Linked DNA regions of Schizosaccharomyces pombe. The main gene of each other region encodes a partner of the protein of the gene in region 2 in a complex. Each region holds a gene or a part of one and is shown on either strand. Other genes may lie near its edges. The genes, in order: mrx14, mrpl32 and mrp20.

The links.
Region 1: mrpl32 (region 2) and mrx14 share a complex: the UniProt entries of both Schizosaccharomyces pombe proteins name them as parts of the mitochondrial large ribosomal subunit.
Region 3: mrpl32 (region 2) and mrp20 share a complex: the UniProt entries of both Schizosaccharomyces pombe proteins name them as parts of the mitochondrial large ribosomal subunit.

The regions. Positions count from the first base shown.
Region 1 is NC_003423.3:3,803,283-3,807,040, reverse strand, and holds the start of mrx14 (mitochondrial 54S ribosomal protein bL34m), read left to right. Parts: upstream 1-2,012; 5' UTR 2,013-2,139; coding exon 2,140-2,466; 3' UTR 2,467-2,710; coding exon of another isoform or gene 2,711-3,758. Other genes in the region: U2 snRNP-associated protein Sap62, read right to left, coding at 207-292, 356-797, 1,114-1,239; cqd1 (ABC1 kinase family protein ), read right to left, coding at 2,711-3,758. UniProt on the Schizosaccharomyces pombe protein: Component of the mitochondrial ribosome (mitoribosome), a dedicated translation machinery responsible for the synthesis of mitochondrial genome-encoded proteins, including at least some of the essential transmembrane subunits of the mitochondrial respiratory chain.
Region 2 is NC_003423.3:3,905,748-3,909,285, forward strand, and holds mrpl32 (mitochondrial 54S ribosomal protein bL32m), read left to right. Parts: upstream 1-2,104; 5' UTR 2,105-2,390; coding exon 2,391-2,702; 3' UTR 2,703-2,984; downstream 2,985-3,538. Other genes in the region: PAK-like kinase Shk1, read left to right, coding at 1-1,311; SPOM_SPBC1604.12 (uncharacterized protein), read right to left, coding at 3,146-3,538. UniProt on the Schizosaccharomyces pombe protein: Component of the mitochondrial ribosome (mitoribosome), a dedicated translation machinery responsible for the synthesis of mitochondrial genome-encoded proteins, including at least some of the essential transmembrane subunits of the mitochondrial respiratory chain.
Region 3 is NC_003424.3:400,784-404,418, reverse strand, and holds mrp20 (mitochondrial 54S ribosomal protein uL23m), read right to left. Parts: upstream 1,534-3,635; 5' UTR 1,360-1,533; coding exon 874-1,359; 3' UTR 607-873; downstream 1-606. Other genes in the region: AP-2 adaptor complex subunit Apm4, read left to right, coding at 1-606; ATP-dependent RNA helicase Dbp10, read left to right, coding at 2,225-2,447, 2,548-3,635. UniProt on the Schizosaccharomyces pombe protein: Component of the mitochondrial ribosome (mitoribosome), a dedicated translation machinery responsible for the synthesis of mitochondrial genome-encoded proteins, including at least some of the essential transmembrane subunits of the mitochondrial respiratory chain.

The DNA.
Region 1 (3,758 bases), 100 kb from region 2:
AAAATAAGTATATAAATCACCAAAATAGGTTTAGCTAGCACGGTTCTTCTACAATTCACGTGTGGAGAAACAATTCAGAATGATTGAGTTCGAATTCTTTTACACACATAAAGAACTGCGGTATTGATAAATTGGGAGACTGAGCGAAATATTTGGAAAAGACATTTTGTTTCATAAAAAGGAAATTTAGGATAGCAGCTCAAAATTTACGATATTTTTGTTAAGTTGTAAAAGAATTGGATAGTATATGTAGGTGCATCCCAATAACTCCAAAATTTCCCGGGTGCACGATCTATTTCGTGAGCATCTGCGCAACAAAGTTAATATAAATAAAAAATCAGTAAAACCAACATACCAATTTTAAAGGCTATTGATTCGTATGGTTCAGCAGCCACTACCAGATACTGAAACTTTCGGTCAGGAGCTTCAACACGCTGTTCATAAGCACTCATAATTCTGTATCTTGGCTTAGCGTTCACTTCAATATCTGGATACTTTATTTGGAAACGTAGGCCAAATTTTCCGCTTTCGGCTTCTCTTATTTTGGACACTTTATAACCGGGTCGACCAATTTTTACGACACTTTTTTTAACCTGGACATGGGATTGAGAAATGCCCAACAACACTTGTGGTGCATTCTCTTGAGACTTTTTATTTTCGAGAGCCTGTCTCCTGGCTAAATTTGTCTGGTGTTTTTTACCTTGTGTATGGGTAAGGTAAGAGTTTTCATTCGCATGTGTAGTGAGGCAAAGACGACATTCAAAAGTGCCTAAATGATTTTTCATCAAATATGGATCCTATAAGAGATTAGCAATAGAAATATCATCGCAAAGAGTTTGAGGAGGAAGCTTCAAGGTGATTGACAGGGTAAAAAAAAGATGTCCAATTAGTGTAACATGCAAAACAGCAAACAAGGAAGTAGAAAGCAAATCCTTTTCATTTATTATTGTTGTTATTTTAGTTGTTATAGTTAGCGAATTTAACAGCAACTACTAATAAACTTCAATAATATGTAACATACGTACATGTCTTACTTTACACGATTAATTCATCGGTAATTATAATTGACATTCAGCACTCAAATTTTCAGAATTCAGTGGTTTTTAAACATACCTTTGATAAATCAATGGTTTCTAGCGCCAATTTACGAAGACGCTCTCTACGTGCAGCATTTGTTTCTTGATAGCCAGCAACGCCTCCTCCTCCAAAACGAACACCTGCGCGGTTTTGATAATCCATTTTTTAGTTCCTAGAAAATCCAACACTTATTTTTCTGTACTTTCACAATGACAATAAAGTCCCCTAAAAGACGGTGGCAGAGGCTGTACTTTCGTGAACCCCTATGTTTAAAGAAATATCGCAATGCAGAACAATACGCTAAATTCTCATCGTCGATGCCTTTTTTTTAACAAATATTTTAAATAGCAGATTAGAGCTCCTTTTCTCCATTTTATTATGTCACGTAAAAACAAAAAAAAATAATAACTTTTGATAAATTTAATGTATTGATGCTCCCATATATGAGTATATTTAATATGCTTTCAATATTTAAAAAGCCGGGACTGCAGCAATTTGCTTCCAATTTAAAATACTGGGTATTATTAATAAAATAAAATAGATAAAAGAAAGTATAAGATGTCATTTAACTGCTAAAACCTTTTTTGTACTATAAATTATCACTTTTAGCCCATGAATCGAATTCATTAAACTGATGGATTTTACTATTTGGTAATCTCATGCCAATTATTTGTTGGGAAAAAGCAAAAGCGATATCAAATTTTAGGGGTTCAGGTTGCTTTCTTTAAGGGCGTATAAAGAATGGTTAATGAACTATTTATTAATAATAATAGTATTATTATTATATTACCGACATTCCAGTGAATTGAATGAAACTATTAAAACGTAGTTATTGGATTTTAGCAAAGATTTTAATTTATTGTAACACAAATATTTGAAATTTAACACTTCGAATGTCAAACGGTGCTACACTGATTCACTTCAACCTTTCTAATAACCAGCTACTCCATCACATCTCAAATCTCTTCATTTTGCACATTTACGTTCATATATAATTTTTATATTATTTTTTGAAATTTTTTCTCTTGAAATCCAGTCACCTGCTTTCATTCCTATTGCTTTATGATGTTTATGCAACAATTTCGAAATTTGTTGCATCCTGCCATGAAGGGAGCCAGGAATATTTCAATATTAGCTGGAGGAGGAACTATGAGAGGGTTTCCGACAAGAAACCCTTTTAATACCGCTACTTTATACAGTTCTTTACCGACTATGAACATCTTCGGTCAAATGCAGCAAGTGCGTTGGAAAACGTATGGAAACGAGTATCAACCCTCAAATAGAAAGCGTAAAAGAAAACACGGATTTTTATCTCGAATTCGTTCTGTTAACGGTCGTCGTGTTTTACGAGATCGAAGACAAAAAGGGAGGATGTATCTGAGCCATTGAGTACATATTATCTTTTAATGGGCTCTAATTTGCATTAGTAACCTCTATCAATTCTTCATTTAAGTAATGCTTTCTAGTTTGTGATACATTTTCTTTCCATTGGTTCTTTGTTTAATTTTACTTGTTGAACTTTGAACTTTAATAACTTCTTTAAAACACGAGTTTATAAAATTTATTTTCCATGTCTGCGACTATATTTTTCATGAACAATTTTCCATCATTTATAAAATAAACCGTAATTTTTTTATATATTGGGTGCGATCATATCGGACTTAACCCACTTTTCTACCGTTTCTTTAGAGGTGCTTAAAAGCAAAAATTGTCTAGCTTCTAAAGCTATCCATAATTGAACCATTGGGTTTGTGAGTGAGACATTGGATTTCGATGAAGCAGAACGAAGATATGGTGTAGCATTACTTAATAGATCCATTTCTGGATATAGTTGGCGTCCAGCGCCTTCAACTAAAAGGATAGATAGCACAGTATTTGCGAAATTTGCTTCAATTCGAACATGATGCTCTCTCGCCATAGTCATTACTTCTTGTAATATAGTTCCTATTTGAAGTGATTTCAGTGAAAGCGTGCTCTTTTGAATTTCATTCAACAAATGTTCCATTTTAAGAGCAAATATGTCTTTGTTTATAACGCGTTCTGTCTGCCTGCTCCTTTCAACCATCAACAGTCCAGCCTCATAGCCATGGAAAGTAAGTACGGCTTGAAACAGATCCAAAAAATTTTTCTGATCCTGCGTACTAAGTTTCGTTACTAATCCAGCATCCAAAAATACTAAAGTCGGTCGATAGCCCAAGATGTTTAATTCTTCCATAGCAGAATCCCATTCCTCCGTCGAACATGTACTTAGAATTTTATAAATTGAGTCATTAATCTCATTATCTTGATTAAAGATTGTTTTAGGGATTCCTTTGTAAAATTTAACAAGGACATTACCCGGATGAAGATCAGCATGTGTAAAGTTGTCAACAATAAGCATTTGAAATAATGCATTATTTCCTGTGTTAGCTAACAACTTGTTAAATGGTCCTGACTTATGTTTGAGGAACGCGCTTAATGGGATACCCGGCATATAGTCTTCTAGTAGGATTTGATTAGTCGTGTAATCATCATAGGGAGCTGGAAATTCAACATATCTATTTCCTCTAAAGTTAAGACGGAACTGGTTGAGATGAAGCGCCTCATAATGTAAATTCAATTGCTGGTTTAACATTGCCCCAAATACCTTAACTTCGTCGGGCAGAGAAAGCCACTTCATTGAAGGTACCAAATTAATTAAT
Region 2 (3,538 bases):
ACTGAGAAGCCTTTACTCTCCGTTTCAGCGTTGTCTAGTAGTTCTCATCTTCAACCCACCTCTGCTACAAGCTCATCTTCTCGTTTGTATCCTTCTCGACCTGCTCCCACGCCTCCTGCAAGTTCTTCATCGTCTCCTTTATTATCATCACAAACAGTTAAAACTACTACCTCTAATGCTTCTCGACAACCTTCTCCATTAGTTTCCAGCAAGTCAACCGATAATATAATCCGAAGTCATTCCCCTGTTTTGTTAACGCCTCAAACCTTAAGTACATCTGAAACGAAACATATCCGTCCGAATAACTCGACACCATATCAACGGAGAGCCGAGACTAGCACCAAACCGAAAGCTGTTGCGACTCCTCAAAAAGTGGAAGCACCAAGTGCCCCTCGACTTCAAAAGCGTGCACCTCGACAACAATCCAATGATTCTGCTGTATTGGCAAAGTTACAGTCTATATGCAATCCCAAAAATCCAACACTTTTATATCGAAATTTTGTTAAAATTGGTCAAGGTGCTTCTGGTGATGTGTATTCTGCTCGCCAAGTCGGCACTAATCTTTCTGTTGCCATCAAGAAAATGAACATTAATCAACAGCCAAAAAAGGAATTTATTGTCAATGAAATACTCGTGATGAAGTCACATCATCACAAAAACATTGTCAATTTTATTGACACTTTCTTCTATAAATCAGAGTTGTGGATGGTAATGGAATACATGCGCGGTGGCAGTCTTACTGAAGTGGTTACCAATAACACTCTTTCAGAAGGTCAGATAGCTGCAATATGTAAGGAAACGTTGGAAGGCTTACAGCATCTCCATGAAAATGGCATTGTTCACCGTGACATAAAATCAGACAATATCCTTCTCTCACTTCAAGGAGATATTAAACTTACCGATTTTGGGTTTTGTGCTCAGATCGACAGTAACATGACGAAACGAACGACGATGGTTGGTACTCCATATTGGATGGCTCCAGAAGTCGTTACTAGAAAGGAATATGGTTTCAAAGTTGATGTCTGGAGTCTTGGTATTATGGCTATAGAGATGGTAGAGGGAGAGCCCCCGTATTTAAACGAAAATCCTTTACGTGCTCTATATTTAATTGCTACTATTGGTACTCCAAAGATTAGTCGGCCAGAATTGTTAAGTTCTGTTTTCCATGATTTTCTTTCTAAATCTTTAACTGTTAATCCTAAGCAACGCCCTAGCTCCGGTGAGCTTTTAAGGCATCCGTTTCTTAAGCAAGCCGTTCCAGTTTCATCCCTTATCCCTTTGATAAAATCCATACATCATTCTGGTAAATAGGCTAACTTGTCAAAAAAGTTTTTGAGTAAACATCTGCTGTTAGAAGTTTCGGAATATCCTCCAACGTTTGCTTAAAAACTGTTTCTTCTCACATTGTTTATTTATCGTTAATATGCTTTTGCAGTTCGTTAGAATATATGTACCTGAGTTTATTTTTTTGCCTCCTCCACTAAAATCCATATCCGCAGGTTGGGCAGATTCAAACAGAGTACATTTTAACTACTTTTTTGCTTTACTTTAATTCCTTTTTCTAGTGCATACTTTACTTATCTGTTCCTTTTTTTTTGTTTTTTTCTTACTGCCAAGAATGATCTCAGTGACACTTGGATAATTTTTATAATAAATGAGACAATGCTTCTTTCTAAAAGTCTCAACTTTTTAATATTCGCAATGCATTATAAAAAAACTAAAAGGAAGACTAACTTATCAAAGTATTCAAAATGTAAGTACATGATTCTGAGATTGATCTTGAATCAGTCAAAATAGGTTTGAATCTTTTAAAGCGATGTTTCAATTTCAATTATGTGGAATCTCAAAGTGAAACGCCTGCTGGAATATTTCACAAAATTTTTGATCTACTAAAATTAGTACAAATACGTAGAAAACTTCAAATAATTAAATGGACTATGATTGTAGCGTAGTTCATGAGCTTAAGAAAATTGTCAACATTAAACTGCGAGACTTAATAAAGAGAGAGCGCACTTAGCATTTAAATGTCAAGCCAAAGCAATAGTGAATTTGAGGAGTCTCGTTATACATGGGTTATTACTACTCAACAGCAGACTATAGATTTAGGCAGCAGCCTACTTCTTAAGCATTGTCTCGAAACCAAAGTAACTGGTCTTTAAGTTTCCTTTTGACGACTTCCAATTATTTCAAACTCTTTTCTCGGAGATCGTAAATCTATCTGTGATTGGGTCTACTGGTTTTAGAAAACGGCTATATGCATCGTTTTATAACTATATAATTAAGATCAAGTTCTGCAGTAACTAAGTTCGCCTTACCTTGAGAAAACTTTTAAAATATTGTTCAGCATTACTGTACCCAACAATATTCTACTGTTCGCGCTTGGGTCGAAAATGGCTCTTTTAAGAGGAAATTCTTTGGCAATTAGCCAAAAAATGTTATCAGTTTTTCAAGCTAGCGCCCTTCCTCATATTTCTTTGAGGATATTTATTTCCCCCCCTTCAATAGCTAATATATGGAATTCCATTTTGCTTGCTGTTCCAAAGAAAAAAACTTCTTATACTAAGAAACGAAGTCGCTTACTGTCCGGAAAAGCATTAAAAGACAAAACAGTTAATCGTTGTCCTATTTGCGGGTCTTTTAAATTGGCACATCATTTATGTTCTCACTGTTTTAGAAATATTCGTCGAGAATTTAACGAATGAAGGGCATTAAGCATTTCTTCACTGATTTAGTGATGCTGCAAATCTTTATTTTAAGAAAAAAAATGGACTTAACATTAAATATAAGGTTGTTTCATGTAATAGTATTGCAGTTAGTGAATTGAATCTGCTCGCACTACTTAAATTTTTTCAGTATTACGATTAATGAACTACACCCTTTTTAAAAATACGCGTATAACAAAGAATTTTTTTACTTAATTTTATTTGTTGACTATGTACGGTTGAGTATAAATATCATATATTATGCAAAAGAATTTAGAGTGAAAAAATAACAAAAAAGCTGAATATATCTCTTAGCTTTCATCCTTTTTCAATACACGTTTATGTTGTAAGCGTGTAAATAATATTAAATGCATCGAAAACACAAAAGAGACTATAATCTCATGTAAAGTATACATAAACGATAACAATAAGAAAAAACCAAGCTAGTTTTTCGCCCTCCATAAACCGGAATCAATTCGTTCTCGGCGTTGAGGATCATAACGATTAGCGTTCATTGAATTACGAAAAGAGCGACGAGCCACTTGAATTGTCTTGCTACCTGGAAGACAAACAGTTACACGCAGTGGATGAGTAGGATGAATTCGAAGGGGTTGTTTGGAAGATGAGCGGTATATAGGAACCTTCTCCTCTAATGGTTTCATTTCCTCTAATTTTAATGATTTAGTAGGAAGAAACCGCTCCGGGTTCACTTTAGGCAAATGTAAATTCAAAATAACATCGCCCTTCGATCGCTGAATTCGAACAGAATTTGCATGACTAAGTATCAATCTCGATGATTTTAAAGAGCTCGTTTCCGAGGATACTACATAACTACT
Region 3 (3,635 bases), on a different chromosome or scaffold from region 2:
CCGTCCTCAGTTAACGGAGGATTTGTCATTTTAGAAGATTGCCAGTTTCATCAATGTGTTAGATTGCCGGAATTTGAAAATGAACACAGAATTACTTTCATTCCGCCGGATGGTGAGGTTGAATTAATGAGTTATCGTTCACATGAAAACATAAATATTCCTTTTAGAATTGTTCCTATTGTCGAACAGTTGTCGAAACAAAAAATTATTTATCGTATCAGTATACGAGCAGACTATCCACACAAACTTTCTTCTTCTTTGAACTTTCGGATACCGGTTCCCACAAATGTGGTAAAAGCTAATCCTCGTGTAAATCGAGGAAAGGCAGGGTACGAGCCCTCTGAAAATATTATCAATTGGAAAATTCCCCGGTTTTTAGGCGAAACTGAACTTATTTTTTACGCTGAGGTAGAGTTATCTAATACAACTAACCAGCAAATATGGGCGAAGCCTCCAATATCCTTAGATTTCAATATTCTTATGTTTACCAGCTCCGGTCTACATGTGCAATACTTAAGGGTCAGTGAACCTTCTAATAGCAAATACAAAAGTATTAAATGGGTAAGGTACTCAACTAGGGCTGGAACTTGCGAGATACGCATTTAAGAAGTATTGTGATACAAAATTATTATTTTATTAATTGACGACCGTGCTTTTCCGACATGAAAAGAATTTCCAAAATAGTTTTAGAACATTTCAAAATGAAACAAGTGGCGTTGAAAGTTTAATAGATGAAAGAAGAGAGGTTATAATGAATGCAATTAAACACCATACCGCTTCGATGAGGCATTTGAGGCTATAATTATGCTTTTGTAGGCATTAATGAATAGACGGAAACCAAAATAAAACATTACCTGGGAAATGAAAAAAATACTAATACTTTTTCTTTAAAAGTCTAGCGATTTTCTGTTGTGATTCGAGTATCTGCTTATCTTGTAACTTACTTAACTCTTCGTTCACCCGTTTCATGTCAACTTGTTCAAGGACCTTTGGATACCTGCTCAGGGTTTTCACATTAGAACCATCAGGAAGTAATTCACCCTCCTGCCAATCTTTCAAATCATTTGGGGCATTTGGGTAAACGAAAGGTTCTTCCATCTCAACGATGACGCGTTTTTCAGATTGTGGTCTCTTAACCTGTCCTAGTTGATTTCTAAAAAGTTTGCCCTGATAAATTCTTGACTTAACTGATACGACTTTTAAATTGTACACATGTTGCAAATAATCGCGAACATCAAACTTGTTAACATGAAGAGGTACGCGAAATACTGCAAATTTAGGTTGAAGATTTAGTCCTCTGCATAACGTGAACGTTATATTTGGAAAGTACACTAATCTTTTCCCAGCAATTTTACTCATATTTACTATTGAGTTTCAACTTCAAGGCTAAAGCAACTTGTGCTAGTTATGCAAAAAAAGAGAAACAAATGGTTTTTCTCAACAGTAGATTTCAAGATGAATTTGATGTCAACGGCCTTAGGTAAACGATTAGTTATTAACCATTTGTTGGATTACGGAGTTCAAATGTTGTTTAGTACTAACGTGCTGAGAATCCGGTTGCTTTATTGCATCAAAGCTCAGTTGTATACTATTAACAAATAACGTCTCTGGTTGTATTATCCTAGAACGTAATATATGTAAGCTACGCAATTTGGTATCTGATTTAAGGATACGTAGAACTGCGGTGAGTTTTCCTTGTGATCTATTATATTGTAATACGCAAGTAGTATAAGTAGGAATTGGATATAGGTATTCTAATATATAGGATATATCGTTATCTATAGCTGAGATATCTTATAACTGAACTGAGGAATCAAATTCAGTTGTTCTCAATTTATAACATTTGAAATAACAAGGATTATAACTGATAGTCATCTTATCATAAATGATATTATATCCTTCTAGATAACTTATCATGTAAAGCTGATAGAGCAAATAGAACATTATGAACATGTGACATATAGTGATACACAACGTAGTATATCGTAGCGTAGTGTAGTATTGCTGACATATAAAGCAGCTTATTTCAAGTTCGTTATAGTTTATTAAAATACGTTGGATTACTTATTTTTAATATAAAGAAACGCAGCAGAACAATTGAAATGAGAATGTTAAATCAAACTTAAGAAGGCCCTTTTGATAGTTGTTATTCATACGGTAAATTTTCTTGCCAGCGACACTAGAGAACTAAAAAATCAACAAAAGTGCAGCTCACTCGTCTTAAATGTCCGGATTCCAGACGTCCGACGAGGTCGATATATCAAATTCTTTAAAAGCTTTTCCTGTTGATATTGCTACTGATAATCAAAAAGATAAGCACGAAAATGTTGGTGAAAATGTGAGCGATGAAGATGATGGTAATTATATTGCCTCGAAGCTTTTGGAGTCTAACAGGAGGACGAAGGGAAAAAAGGGGAATGGAAAGGCTTCTAATTTCCAATCGATGGGTATGTTAACTTCGTGATTACTTGCCATAAGGTCACTTTGCATTATGCTTCAAGACACTGTAATCTAAATTACTTTGATATTTTTCTAACTTAATTATAGGATTGAATCAAACTTTACTTCGAGCAATATTTAAGAAGGGTTTTAAAGCTCCTACGCCGATTCAGCGCAAAACGATTCCCCTTTTATTGGAAGGTCGTGATGTTGTAGGTATGGCACGTACTGGATCAGGTAAAACTGCAGCTTTTGTTATACCTATGATTGAGCATTTGAAGTCCACTCTAGCAAACTCTAATACTCGCGCCTTAATTCTCTCGCCAAATCGAGAACTTGCTCTTCAGACTGTGAAAGTCGTCAAAGACTTTTCTAAAGGTACGGATCTTCGATCTGTCGCTATCGTCGGTGGCGTCAGTCTAGAGGAGCAATTTAGTTTGCTATCCGGAAAACCCGATATTGTGGTCGCAACTCCTGGAAGATTTCTACATTTAAAGGTGGAAATGAAATTGGAGTTGAGTTCAATCGAGTATGTCGTTTTCGATGAGGCCGATAGACTTTTTGAAATGGGTTTTGCTGCTCAATTGACAGAGATTTTACATGCTTTGCCGACTTCTCGTCAAACTCTTCTCTTCTCTGCCACACTTCCACGTACTCTTGTTGATTTTGCAAAGGCTGGACTTCAAGACCCGGTTCTTGTACGCCTTGATGTAGAATCCAAGGTTTCCGCGGATCTACAAAGTGCCTTTTTTTCTGTTAAAACCGCTGAACGCGAAGCTGCTCTCTTATGTATACTACAAGATATCATTAAGCTTCCTCTAAAAGATAACGTGCGCCCAAGAGAAATAGGAAATGTCAATAATCCGAAGAAAAGAAAACGTGCATTAGAATTAGCGCTTAAAGGAAGTGAATCTGGATCACCAGATTCTACTCTAGTATTTGTTCCTACAAAACATCATGTCGAGTATGTTTCTGAGTTACTTGTTCAAGCAGGATATTCGGTTTCAAAAATTTACGGGTCTTTGGACCAAGAAGCGCGTCTCAATGAAATTAATAATTTTCGACTTGGAAAAACAAATTTACTAGTCGTTACAGACGTAGCTTCTCGTGGTATTGACATCCCATTACTTGCTAATGTTATTAATTATGATTTCCCTCCTCAACCAAAAGTTTTTGTTCACCGTGTAGGACGTACA